Linked DNA regions of Callithrix jacchus. The protein of the gene in region 1 purifies or fractionates together with the protein of each later gene. This does not show direct contact. Links are inferred from orthologs where the notes say so. Each region holds a gene or a part of one and is shown on either strand. Other genes may lie near its edges.

The links.
Region 2: the proteins of AKAP5 (region 1) and PRKACB purify together in Homo sapiens (affinity purification with mass spectrometry; 4 studies listed by BioGRID and IntAct, counting the BioPlex papers as one, with this or other methods). This does not show direct contact. The link is inferred for Callithrix jacchus from reciprocal best matches to the Homo sapiens genes AKAP5 and PRKACB.
Region 3: the proteins of AKAP5 (region 1) and PRKACA purify together in Homo sapiens (affinity purification with mass spectrometry; 6 studies listed by BioGRID and IntAct, with this or other methods). This does not show direct contact. The link is inferred for Callithrix jacchus from reciprocal best matches to the Homo sapiens genes AKAP5 and PRKACA.

The regions. Positions count from the first base shown.
Region 1 is NC_133509.1:99,114,793-99,119,944, forward strand, and holds the start of AKAP5 (A-kinase anchor protein 5), read left to right. Parts: upstream 1-2,132; 5' UTR 2,133-2,245; intron 2,246-4,764; 5' UTR 4,765-5,025; coding exon 5,026-5,152. UniProt on the Homo sapiens protein: Multivalent scaffold protein that anchors the cAMP-dependent protein kinase/PKA to cytoskeletal and/or organelle-associated proteins, targeting the signal carried by cAMP to specific intracellular effectors.
Region 2 is NC_133508.1:121,454,655-121,458,288, forward strand, and holds part of PRKACB (cAMP-dependent protein kinase catalytic subunit beta), read left to right. Parts: intron 1-2,021; coding exon 2,022-2,147; 3' UTR 2,148-3,634. UniProt on the Homo sapiens protein: Mediates cAMP-dependent signaling triggered by receptor binding to GPCRs.
Region 3 is NC_133523.1:12,893,968-12,898,941, forward strand, and holds the start of PRKACA (cAMP-dependent protein kinase catalytic subunit alpha), read right to left. Parts: upstream 3,247-4,974; 5' UTR 3,047-3,246; coding exon 3,001-3,046; intron 1-3,000.

The DNA.
Region 1 (5,152 bases):
GCCCAGGAGTTCAAGACCAGCCTGGGCAACATAAGGAGACCCTGTCTCTACCAAAAAAAAAAAAAAAAGCAGCAGCAGCATCTGGGCATGAAGTCACATGCCTGTGGAGGACTGAGCCAGGGATTGTGCCACTTGCACTCCAGCCTGGGCAACAGAGCAAGATCCTGTCCCAAATAAAAATAAGACAGCTATTCTACCCTGTCTGCACCTAAATAAGCTCATCTTATTTTTTGGTCTGAAATTGTTGCAACTCCCAGGTCTGCTAGTTTTCAGAAACCTTGGATCTCAATAAGGAATAGTTCTCATGAGTATCATGGAATTCTTTTGGCTTAAAGTTCAAAACTGGCAAGAAGCAGGGCTAGCAACCCATAGAGAGACATGAAGAACATTTTCATAGACATGTTTGCTGAATGAACAAGGTTGACTGAGTTTTGTTTTGTTTTGAGACAGGGTCTCACTTGGTTGCTCAGGCTGGTGTGCAGTGGCACATTAGCAGCTCACAGCAGCCTTGACCTCCTGGGCCCAAGTGATCCCCATCTCATCCTGAGTAACCAGGACTACAGGTGTGCCACCACGCACGCCTAGCTAATTTTTAAATTTTTTTTATCTCCCTATGTTGCCCAGGCTGGTCTCAAACTCTAGGACTCAAGCCATCCTCCTGCCTTGGCCTCACAAAGTCAGCCACTGCACCCAGCCCTGAATTCTTAATTACAACTAAACTTGATGCTTATGGATTTTCCTGCTTTACAACTCTTGTCTCTTTTACCTGTAAATTTAAGATCTTGACAGCTTATATTTGCCTTTGCTTTTGTGTTCCAATAGTTCTATCCTTGGTAAGCCTCTGTGGAAACTACAGAATCTTACAAATATAAAACATTTCCAGAAAAACATCCAAAAATGGACACCTGACATTTATATGCCCTAATATCTTGATCCTGTTGAAGAAAGGAGATGAGCACAGCTGCTTTTCAGTAGTTCTTCACTCCACCTTACTAGGTTCATCTGGATGCTATGCTGTGGGGGACAGACGAGGAAGCTGGGATTGTGAGGGATTCTACTAGACTTTATGGCTGGATCGCCCAGGAATACTCTCATAGGGAGTACTAACCCAAAAGCAAGTCAGCTTCAACTCTAACAGCATCACCTTTCATAAAGTACATGTTAATGCTTTATGTGTACAAATAAATACTTGTGGTATTTTTCACTATGGCAAGCTCCGAAAATGCATGAAGATACGTAACCTAGTCAATCAGGTGGGCAGATGGTGCCTGCACCCTTTGCTGTGACTGAGACTGGAATTGTGAGCAATGTCCTCTCCTGTTCTCCACCCGCCTCCCCACCCCACCACCCCACTTCACTGACAGTGGCGATGTCAAGTAGGCAGCTAGGAATGTCCTAAAGGGAATCATGGGTAACTTGTAAGCTACCTCAACTTATTTTTGTTACTATGTAAAGTATAAGATGGATGGAGCTGGGTTCTTGTGCCTTTCTCACCTTGTCTGCATAGAGATGCAGCTGCTCCTGCAGGTCAAAGTTCTGCGCGAATCACCTCCACCTGCGTACTATTGGGAAACAAAGGTCTGAGAGCCTGTTTGGTGATGAACCACGATGAACTCCTTAACACTCAAGCCACTCCTCAGAAAGTCGGGTTTCTTTCCGTTTCCATTCATATATGTAATTTTCGCTTCAGACAAACAGGACACCTATTCTATGCAGTTTTGAATCCCTCTTTTAAAATGGGATGTCTGCCTTGTCTAAATTTTCTGAGGCGGAGGAGAGGGGAAGTGTAATGGGACCGTCTATAATTTGAAACCCGACCTCACTACTTTGCGTCTCAGAAAACGCGGGGTTCGTTGCCCTGGTCCCCGCGGTCCCCCAACCTTCCGGCTGGCTCTCTCGCCGTCCTCGCCTCGGCGCTGAGGTGGTCAGGCGGCAGGGATTGGCGTCCGGGCGGAGCATGGTGGACTTCCCCGCGGCAGGCAGGCTGCTGCTGCAGGTGGGTCCGGGCGCCCGCACCGCCCCCCACCTCCCGCGGACGCCCCGCCCCTGCCCGCTCGCTCCGCTCGCATTGGTGCTGCGGGCTGTCTGTCCCCGCGCGGTGGGGAGGGGGCGCACTAGGCGGCGGGTTCCGCAGAGGGCGCCTTGCTCCGTGCGCGACCGCGGCTCCCTGGAGGCCTGGGTGCCGGGCCCCGCGAGCGCGCCGCGACCTCAGGAGCAGTGTTGACCAAGGACCCCTGCGCCCTCGGTGAGTGAAGGCAGGGCGGGGAGGCTGCGGGGGAGGAGGGCCGGGGGCAGTGTCAGGTCTGCGGATCGCAGAGTGAGCAGGGGGTGTCCATTGGACACTGGGGATCCGGGCACCCTGAGGTGCTGGGATCGCGGGAGGTGGCTTGTCTGCAGGAATCCGCGGACAGGGCGACCCTCATCAGGTCTGCCCACCTATCTCCTTCGCGTTACAGCTGGTCTTAGAAGCAAGGGTTGCCGGTGGCTTTTTTCCTTCTTTATCCCTTTGGGGAAATGTGATTTTGGGTTTATAGCCATTACATTATAATTCTACAGACAGCTTGAAGCTGGGTTATCTGTTCCACGCCCCCAGCATTTTCCTTTTTGAGTACTTTATCCTGCGCGCTGTCTCCTGCCATAAGGGGCATCAAGCCAGAATTCGAGATTCCTTCCTCCAGGAGGAAGCTTCGTGGTCCATATCTGGTGCTGGGAAGGATACATTGCTTTCCTCGGGTAGTGGTTGCTCTTTGCTGCTCAAGGGAGAAAGGGAAAAAGGGTGTTTTCTGTGACAGGAGACTTGCAATTCTGTCAGGAAATGAGCACAGGGACTTTAAGATTTCCTGAGGCGATAAAGATACCCTTGCTGGTTAAAGGGAAATCATTTGCAGTCTGACATTCTGCAAAGTTTTAATATCTACAGACAGAATTATTTTCCCCCTTTCAATTAAATTTCTGTTTGGGTATTCATTTTATTTCTAGAGTGTATATACATTTAAGTAAGCTTCTCAAACCATTGGCTTTGCACAATCCAGGTTAGTTTCTAAATGATACACTCCTAAACATCTCATTTCAATATTTCTATTATGTGATAATACATCCTCTGCTTAACAAAAATGCTCAGGTGCTGAAAACTCACAAGAGGTGAGAAGATTTAAAGTTATCAGCTGAGGTTCTAGTGCTCACTGCAGCATATAAATGTGAGGAGAAACACTGTCAAATGGTTCATATTTTAGTTCTATCATTGTTCTAGAATGACTTTATCTTTCTCGTAGAGGCATCAAGTATGAAACACCCAACCTAAGGGAATATTTACTTATCATAAACTGATTTTCAGGGTTCCAGTTCCTTCTACAGCTCATAAAATTATGGGTTACCCAAATGAAACTTCAGTGAAGGATTTACATGTAAACAGTATAAAGAATGAGTCCCTTTGCTTATTTTAGGGCGTCCACCCACTAAAATTCATAGGATCTTTGTTAGATAATCACCTCCCATTTCCATTCTTTAGTGCTATCATACCATTCTGTGGATTAAATTTTCAATACACTTTTATATTATCTAACAGTTTGCCAATTGCATAGTTTGTCAACTTATTTTTGGCTTTTAAATTATTTCCTGAACCAAAAAAATAAAATATAAAGAATTTCAAAAGCTTGGTTTTCAAATAACAAGAACTCAGTCTGGTCTTGGTTCAGTTATGAGTTGATTAATGGGTACCTTGTGGTTAAATGACCATTAATCAGTTTTTAAATTTCTTTACTATGAATATACTGCAGATTAGTATCCCCAAAGGATTCATTTTCTAATGAAACTCTTAAAGCCCAGTTTCAGAACATAAGCTTTAAGCAACAAGTAATCTTGTGTTTAATCTGAGCTCTGTTACAGCGATGCCTTAATCTCAGCCAAACTGCTTCATCTGTACCACCTTGGTAATATTGTGGTGAGGAATAGAAATGTATGTAAAGTGTGTGCACTGCCTAATACCCAAGAATTGCTCAATAAATGTCAGCTATTATTACTGACCTCCAACTATGTGCATATTATGGTGGAAACATGATACAGCAGATATAGTACTTAAATCAAAATGTCAAAATTATACAACTAATTTAAGAGTGTAGAATGACAGTAATGCTAAATTTTTCTAAGAGTATGTATGAAAAGTAGCACTTCCTTGATGGAACATACATTTTTAGAACAGAAACCTTATGTTATAATGGAAAAACTAGAGTGTCAAAGTCTCTACTTGTAACTCTGGCTATGACTTTGTCTATCCGCATGGCTTTTGACAAGACAGTTGCTCCCTTTTGGAGCTCAGTTTTGTCATTTGGCTGGATTTGAGTAATCTCAAATAATCTCTAAAGTCCTTTGCAGTTTTAAGTTATTTATTGAGTGTGATAAAAATTACATTAGCTTGCTTTTTATCCTGTACTTCATTTTTGGTTCTTGTTGTTGATTGCTTAACTTGCACTTTAGAATCATAAGCAATTCATACAGACAGCACAACTAAAGAACTGATAATATCAGACTTGCAGAGTAATCCAAAATGAAGTTTCAACAAAGAGGATAAAACAAAATAGAATTACATTGAACTCTTTAATAGGGCCAAAATAAACCCCAGTCTTTATTCTCCAGCCATTTCATTAGTAAATACATGGAAAATATGTCTGGTAGAATCTTATACATTCAACTGAAAAAGTCTCCATAGAAAATAATAGTGAAAAGCCTCATAGTGAAATAAAATATCACTTTCTTTTCTCTCACCAGGTTGATCTTTAAATAAAGCAAAAATTTATCCAGTAAAGGGCTTCCATGAAGAAATTTAAGGAGAGAAATTGCAAGCAATAGAGAAAGTAGGCATTTCTATACTAGAGAAACCACCTAAAACAACTGCATGGAGTAAAATGAAAGGAATGAATACACCTGGAAGAAATTTTACCTAGTGTGACATTTTTGCCCATCTTTTTGTCACAAAAGGCTAAGGAAGAGAGAATATAGTTCTCTAGAGAATAAGAGTACAGTGTGAAAATGGCAACCACAGTTTCAGAAATTCATGTAGAAAACAAGGATGAGAAGAGATCAGCAGAAGGTAGTCCTCAGGCTGAAAGACAGGAGGAAAAAACATCCATGCTTTGCTTCAAGAGAAGAAAGAAAG
Region 2 (3,634 bases), on another chromosome or scaffold:
CATCCTCACTTTCCTGGAATGAATACCATTTAATCATGGGGGTATGATTTTAATATTTGCCTGAATCTATCTGCTAAAATTTTATTTGGGCTTTTTACTTCCATAGTCAAAAGTTTTATTAATCTATAGTTTCTGTTTTTCTGAAGCTGGGATTATATGGGATTCATAAAAATGAGTTTAGGAAGTTTCTATGCATTTATTCTTCAGAAAATTTAGGAACATAGGATCATCTTATATCTATTCCTTATCAATTTTAACAAACTAATTCTTGGAGATTGGTCTCTTCAAGTTTTTACTTCTTGAGTAAATTTAAGAAATTTATGTTTCCAATAAAATCCATTTCCCTTTCTTTCTATCATCACTCATATTACCTTTATTATTTTATTTATTGTTAATTAATGCTTTTTAGAGGTATATTTTTAGACTTCCTTGAGGTTTGTCAACTTTATTAGTATTCTAAAGATTTCTAATGTATTTGAATCTTTTCATATTTGTATTTAGAAATAAAATCTTCTGCCAAATAGCAATTATTTACTAATCTATTCATATTATGTTTAGTTTTTAATAATTATTTCTAAAATGGGGTAGAACTAAATTGCCACTACTCATTTAGAGTTTATGTGCTTTTCAAAGGGCTTGACTTATCCCAGGTAATAAACAGCTAACCTACCAACAAGCACCACATTGTAACATACAGGTTGTAGTAATGGACAAATTGATTGACAGCTGAATCTTGATTATCAGTGAAACAGATGTAAGGCTCCCTGGATAATTTACAAATAGAAATAATAGAGTACTTTAATTTAGCCATTTATTTTAATATCTTCTCAACTATTATAACTATGCACAACAGTGCAAAAATCATAGTAAATATGAATAGTTTTCATTGTCTTCTTTGTTCTCTGATGCATCTCCAAATGCATCAAGGGGAAAAAAAGTCAGAACAAAGAAGTGGCCTGAACAATTCAAACTGTACAATCATTTTCTCCACATGATTGCCCCAATAGATTTGTTATTCTAAATTGCTGGCTGGCTAGACAGTAGGCAGCTATCTGCTTAGCTCATTCTTCTGGAGCATGCAAAACAGCAGTCCCCAAAACAGGGCATGCAAGGCAGCCAGCTGTCAAACAAAAAGATAATATGAGAAGTCTCATTCCTGCTTATTTTTACCTTATTCTTTTTAAATGCCTTATTTGTAGGTATATCTTATATAATAGCATAGTCATGCACCTAAATAACTTATAAGTAGATAACTACATCTATTATATGTACTAGAAAATGTTTTACTGAAAGGGATATAAGTTAAAAAGCTGTGGAGAATCATGAATTTGAAACCTGCTTTAGCCACTTATTAGTCATGTGAATTTGGTTGACTCTTTTATAATCTGTAAAATGGGAGTAAGAACACCTGTCCTTCCTTCCTCACAGTGTTGTATTGAGAACAAAATAAAGCAACTGTAGTAGTTTGTAAATTCTATAAAGGCTGTGCAAATTGTGAATTTTTTTTTAAGTTTAAGTTTTTAAAATCTTTTCCTCAAATGTATTCAGTATCCCCATTTAATCTTTACAGAAGACCATAATTGAAGTATTGGAAAGACATTTTAGTTTCAGGATCAAAGGAGAAAACTGTTTAAAGTTTAACAGTTCTCTCATTCTAAAAGAGATATGTTTCTTTCCAACTTCTCAGAAAGTTTTGATGGCCAGATATTTTAAACAAAATAAACTGGGGAATTAATAAAGGAAAGAAATTAAAAGTAAGTCTGAGATTTATCTGTAACTTCAGGAGAAAAGAATTTTTACAAAAGGGATAGAAAAAGATAAGGTTTTTAAAAACAAGGAACTGAAAAAGGAAGGACTAAAGTTTTATAACTTTAGGAGCCAGGATTTTGGTAATTATCCCAGAAATTTCTTAAGTATTTCATTGACCTGCATACTTCCTTGAATGAAAATGTTGAGGTTAATAGCTAACCTACTGCTTGCTGCTTCTTTTAGCACTTTTTTTTTCTCTCTCTCAATAATAGGTTGAAGCTCCATTCATACCAAAGTTTAGAGGCTCTGGAGATACCAGCAACTTTGATGACTATGAAGAAGAAGATATCCGTGTGTCTATAACAGAAAAATGTGGAAGAGAATTTGATGAATTTTAAAGAGGAACAAGATGACATCCGAGCTCACACTCAGTGATTGCACTCTGTTGAGAGATAAGGTAGAGCTGAGACCGTCCTTGCTGAAGCAGTTACCCAGTTCCTTCATTCCAACTGAGTGAGGTCTTTATTGCCATCATCCCGTGTGTGCACTCTGCATCCACCTATGTAACAAGGCACCGCTAAGCAAGCATTGTCTGTGCCATAACACAGTACTAGACCACTTTCTTACTTCTCTTTGGGTTGTCTTTCTCCTCTCCTACATCCATTTCTTCCTTTTCCAGTTTCATTGTTTTCTCTAAACAGTGCTCCATTTTATTTTGTTGGTGTTTCAGATGGGCAGTGTTATGGCTATGTGATATTTGAAGGGAAGGATAAGTGTTGCTTTTAGTAGTTCATGCCAATATTGTTGTTGGTCAATGGCTTGAAGATAAACTTTCTAATAATTATTTTTACTTTGAGTAGCTCAGATTTGGTTTTGCCAAAACTCTTGATAATTTTTGAAGACTGTCTTATCACCAAGGAAATGTATACAAATTAAGACTAACTTTCTTGGAATTCACTATTCTGGCAATAAATTTTGGCAGACTAATACAAACAGCTAGACCCAGAAATTTGGATTGCTACAAATCAGAGGTTCTAGTTCCCTTTCCCTCCTTTTATGTCCTCCTCCCCTTGAGCAATGAAGTGACCAGCCTTTGTAGTGTGACAAATGTGTCTCATTCAGCAGGAAAAACTAATGACATGGATCATCACTCAGATTCTCTCACTTGGTACCAGCATTTTTGTAGGTATTAGAGAAGAGTTTAAGTTTTCTAAACCTTAATTGTTCCTTAAGGATTTTAGCCAGTATTTTAATAGAACCTGATTAATGAAAGTTTTAAAGTTTCTTTTATAGTTCTCATCATAAAATTTTTAAAGGAAAATAAGCAAACTAAAAAGAACATTGGTTTGGATAAATACTTATACTTTTCAAAGTCAAAAAAAGGCTTGATTATTGCAACAATATAGAGGTACTTATCTTTAAATGAGGGTTAACTGTTTTGTTTTGTAACCGTTAAAAATGAAAGAAGTTGTTTCCAGCTAATGATTCTGGTGTACTATAGTTGTGAGCCTAGGGTAGGGGCACTGCTGCAACTTCTGCTTTCATCCCATGCCTCATCAATGAGGAAAGGGAACAAAGTGTATCAAACTGCCACAATTGCATTTTCATTTTGAGGTATGATATTTTCAGAGAGTTCATCATTTCTAACCTCTTTTCTCTCAATAAACAGAATGTCTAAACGATCGTGCAGATACAATTTTAGTATTTGAGAGGTTAGTTTTTTTCCTACACCTTTTTTGCCAACTGACTCAACAACATTGCTGTCAGGTGGAAATTTCAAGCACTTTTGCACATTTATTTCAGTGTTTGTTGAGAATCCATGGCTTAACTCAGTTGTTTTGCTTTTTCTTTGCTTTTAATTTTCCCCATCTGATTTTACCTCTGT
Region 3 (4,974 bases), on another chromosome or scaffold:
ATGCTAGACCCCTGCCTTCTTGGGAGGAGGCAGACTCTGTCCTGCCCTGGCACAAAAGATGGTACCACAGGGGACTGACTACAGGATGCTTAACTGGTGCCTCCCAAGGTCTGGACATTCTCCTGACCCTAGTCGGGCCGGCATCTGGCAGATGAAATCCAGGTGCCCCCTGCAGGCTGGCCTGGCTACTGCCCCCGCCCCTGCCCCATCCTTACAAGAGGGCAAATTTTGTCTAACTCCATCTTGTCAGAATCAGAGTGCCTCAAAGCAGAGGGACTTCCTTCCTCATCTTATTTCCTTATCTGGGAGCCTCTGGGAGGAAGTACAGCTTCGGGTGTTTCCCAAAGTGTGACATGGTCCCATTGGCAGAACATGACATGATTTTCAGTATGTTTCATTTATCTAGTTACACTGTATTTTAATGTGTATCAGAGAAAATATAACTGGTATAGCAAACCCAAGATTTCATTGATATTATTGTTTAGAAAGAGCTCAAAGTTTACATCTGAAAAGAAGTGAGAAAAATTTTTATTATTTTAAATTAAAGAAAATATGATAAAAGTAAAAATCTGGGAGGCAGCTGAAGAATGTCAGAGTTGGGAAATTCTGGGATTCAGGAAGTTTGCTGGTAGATGGATCTGGATGTGAATCCTGCCTCTGTGACATCACCTATGTCATGGATGTCATTTCTTTCTTCCTTTTTTTTTTTGAGACGGAGTCTTGCTCTGTTGCCAAGCTGGAGTGCAGTGGCACGATCTCAGCTCACTGCAACCTCCATCTCCCAGGTTCAAGCGATTCCCCTGCCTCAGCCTCCCGAGTAGCTGGGACTACAGGCGTGCGCCACCACACCCAGCTTATTTTCTTGTATTTTAGTAGAGACGGGGTTTCACCATGACCAAGATGGTCTCGATCTCCTGATCTCATGATTCACCTGCCTCGGCCTCCCAAAGTGCTGGGATTACAGGCATGAGCCACTGTGCTCGGCCCGTCATGGATGTCATTTATATCAGAGGGCTCCTTTGAAAATCTGGATAACAGCCCGTTATGAAAGTCACCAGAGTAGATGTATCTATCCGCCTGGCCATTTGGCCAGTGGTGCAGCCTAGACGCCCAATAAATAGTAGCTCTATTTCAGTGATCATTCATTCCTGGGTGTCTGACCTGTGCCCTGAGAGAATCAGCGGTTCCTTCCAGAGCCTCTGATCTTTTTCCTGGGATCCTTTTCTTTGTGCGGCTTTCCACCCCCGACCACGTGTCTGATAGCCTTGAAGGTTTCACAGGACTGTCATCTCCCCAACTTCCAGTGGAGCCACCGCAATACATTGCTGCCCGCCTCTACCTTCCACCTCCCAGCTGGCCTCACCTGCTGGGGGCCTGGCTCCTCCCCCTCTGCCTAGTCCCCTCCAAGCTCATGCCCGGACCTTTTTTGGACACCACCCACCTGCTCCTCGGTCATCAAGCACTCAGCTATGGGCACTTCCCTCCCCGGCCCCCTCCCATTGGTGACATGTCAGGCCTCTTCATGGTTGCTCTGTGACTCTGAGTTCTGCTATTTGAATCCATATGGGAATAAAGTTCCCTGGCTTTCATCCCTTTCAGGGAGGGGGCATTCCGAGAACTCAGATGCTGGGGTTTGAGACCCAAAATTGGCCTGCCTTTTCAGTTCCGAACTATTTCTGGGTAATCAGACGGGATCCCAGTCCCTTCCAGCTTTCAGACTGGAGTGAGAACAATTTAAGAGCTGGAAGCACTGGGAATGGGTTTTAAGACCATTTCTGAGGGTATTTCCAGATACAGAATCTCCTCTGGCTGGCTGGAAAAGGCCAACAGCATTTGGGGGCAAGTGGGTAAAACAGGTCTCTCCCTGGCTGAGTGCTGGGAATGATCAGAATCTATTTGTTCCTTGGCAAAACAAATCACTAGACGTCACCCATTACTCTCTTTGACCGCCTCCACCTCCCCAGTGCTCTTTCTGACCATCCCAATTCAAAGCGAACGAACCTCGCTAAACCCAGACACTTTTCATCTCAAGCCAGGAGCGGTGGAAGAAGCCCCAGGGACTGGGTGAATGACGAAGCCTCAGTTGGGAAACAACCATTTATTGAGAGGCCCTCCAAGGAGCCTAAGGCTCACTGCAAGGCAGGAACCGCGAGGGGGCTCTGGCACCGCCCCCTACCCCAACGCAGGAAAGACGACGCAATGAATCCCAACAAGACCAGCTCAAACTTGGCTTTGGAAGCACTTAAGCAGTTCTCTAGGTTCATAAACAGTCTGCTACCCAGCCAGGAACAGACGCTTCCTTGGAGGACGGAGCACAAGCAGAGAAGCAGAGTGACAGAGTGACAGGATGAGAGAGACAGAGGGACCCAGAAAGATCCTGTCCCCCATGCCAAGTGACACAGAAGAAAAAAACAGTGCTGGAGGTGGGCCTGGGAAAAGCTCAGGGGGCAGGGTGGGTTTGGAAGGGGGGCCTGTGCTAAGGTGAAGAGGGGAAGGGCAGGAGAAAGATGGCGGGGGCTGGAGGGGGGAGGGGTGTGGTCACCAAGTGGCCAAGGTCCCTGCGCGGTGGAGGCAGAGAGACCCCATCTCATTCCCAAACTGGCAGAAACCTGGGTCGGGGTCAGGCAGAGGATCCCATGGGAGAGGTGAGTGAGGAAGTGGGGGGGATTAGAATCTGGGGAGAGGGGCCAGGAAAGGAGGGGTAGGCTGGTGTCAGGGCCCCGTGTGGGGCCCCAGCGGTCATACGTGCCATGGTTGGCAGTGACAGCTGGGGGGGAGCACGGTCTTTGCAGTGTGGGGCGGCCCTAGAGGAAGGGGACCCCTACAGGGGGTACTCTGCGGGCCCGTGGGCCCCAGCCTTGGACAGGCCGGGGCAAGGGGCGCTGGGGGGTAGGCAGAGAGGAATGGGGGGGCCTCGTGGGGGGAGGGGCCAGGCGGTGATGGACAAGGCCGGGGCTGGCAGCGCAGGGCCGGGATCGGGGTCACGGCCCGGGCACTCACCGCTCTCCTGCTCGCTGCCCTTCTTGGCGGCGGCGGCGTTGCCCATCGCGGCGGCGGCGGCCGGGGCCGGTCCCGGAGCTGCGGCGTTGCGGGTGCTGGCGGCGGCCGGCGGCCCCGGAGCGCGCTGGGCGGCGGCGGCGGCGGCCCTCGGGCTGGCTGCGCTAGCTGCGGCGCCGCGACCCCCGCCCAGCCCCTGCTTCCCGCGTCTCTCCGCGCCCGCCCGCCCGGGAACCTCAGCCCAAGTCCGCTGCTGCCGTCCGTGACGCCCCCGCAGCCCGCCGCTCATTGGCCTAGGACGCCCTGACTGACGGCTCCGCGCCGTCGTCCATTGGTCATCCCTCGGGAAGGCCGCGCCGCTATAGGCTCTCAGCCTCGTGACGTATACCGGGGACTCTCGGCCATTCACACACTCGCGAGGCCGCAGCTGGGCGGGCAGACGAGTCTGATTGGTCAAGAAGCTGGAAAGGGCCCGGGGTCCGCCCCGCGAGGCCACCGATTGGCGGAGGCGCGCTGTCCCGCAAACCCCCAGTAGAACGCTCAGTGTCAATCCGGGGGTGAGAGGGCGGGGCGGAGGCGCAGTCTGCGGGCCCCGGCCGGCTGGGCGGAGCGGCGGAGGCTGGCGGGCGGCCGCGCAGCACTCGGAGGCTCAGGAGGCGGCTCCGGCGGGCTCCCGGCCGGCCCCGCGCACGCCGCAGTCCCCCGCCCCCGCCCAGTGCGGCAGCGGCTGTCGGCCAGCTGGGGTTGGCGCCGCGGCCTGCCCGGCGCAGCCGCTGTCCACCTGCCAGTGGGGGAGGAGAGCGGCCGGCGCGCGGGTCAGAGGTTGCCCGGTCGCCGCCGGCGTCATTCATAAGGCCTGGCGCTGGGCAGTCGTGGTGGCCAGGCCTGCTTGGGGGCCAGGCCGCGGAGGCTCCTGGGTTTTCCCAGCCGCAGGCAGGAGGATGCCGGCCCCGGCGCAAGGGGTGGCTGAGAGGGGGCGCTCCGTGTCCACCCCTTTGCTGGGCCCCAGTCCTGGGCTCCTGCCAGTAGTAAGAGCTGGCACCTACTTAACGCTCCTTCGCACCATACTCCCATCGCGTAGGTGCTACCATCATCACTCCCATTGCACAGATGAAGAATCTGGGGTACAGCCAGGCAGATTCCCTACTCACATTCCCTGTCTGTTTCCTGTCTGGGCAATGCAAAGGGAACCTGCCCCTTCCTTCGGGATTCTCTTTCAGTACGCACCTAGCCAAGGACAGTCTGGGTTTCCCAACTGCGACACTACTGACAGCGGAGGTGGGGCTGGATCATTCTCTGCTGGGGGGTGTCTTGTGCACCACTAGGTGTTAAACAACATCCCCGCCTCTACCCACTGGGTGCTAGTAGCCCCTCCTATTCCTGCTGGCCGTGGCAACCACCGTCTCCCGACGTTGGTGAATGTGCTCTTGCGGGGCAGAACTGCTCCTGATTGAGAAGCACTGATGAGGAGTGCTTTTTACATTATTTTTTAATATAAAAACATTTTAACATACAAACAGCAATCACAACAGCATCCACATGGCAGCGAGGGGACCGGGGCACTGCCAGGGGACGGGAGAAGGCAGGTCACCTGGACTCGGGAGGGCTAGCTGGGCTCAGAACTACAAGCCCATCTGCTGGTTAGACTTGAACAGCCCACACCCGCAGTCCCAGGCCAACCACAGTTCCGGGGAGGGTCAGGGCCTTTCTATGGATTCCCGGGAAATGGCTGACCACTCCGCCTCTGGATGGTTACATGGTAAGGTTTAGTAAAATTTAACAAAAGCGGTGTTGTTTGCGTGTTAGGATCACGGTGTTTATTTCTTCCTGTGGGTCAAGGGCAAAGTCTGAAAAATCACTGATTATAATCTATATGCAGGACAGCTGGTTTGCTTAAGTTTTGACAAAGAAAAACCTTTCCTGGAATGGAACCTGTCTGGAATACAACTGTAGAACCAATTAAGACTGGAATGGGAA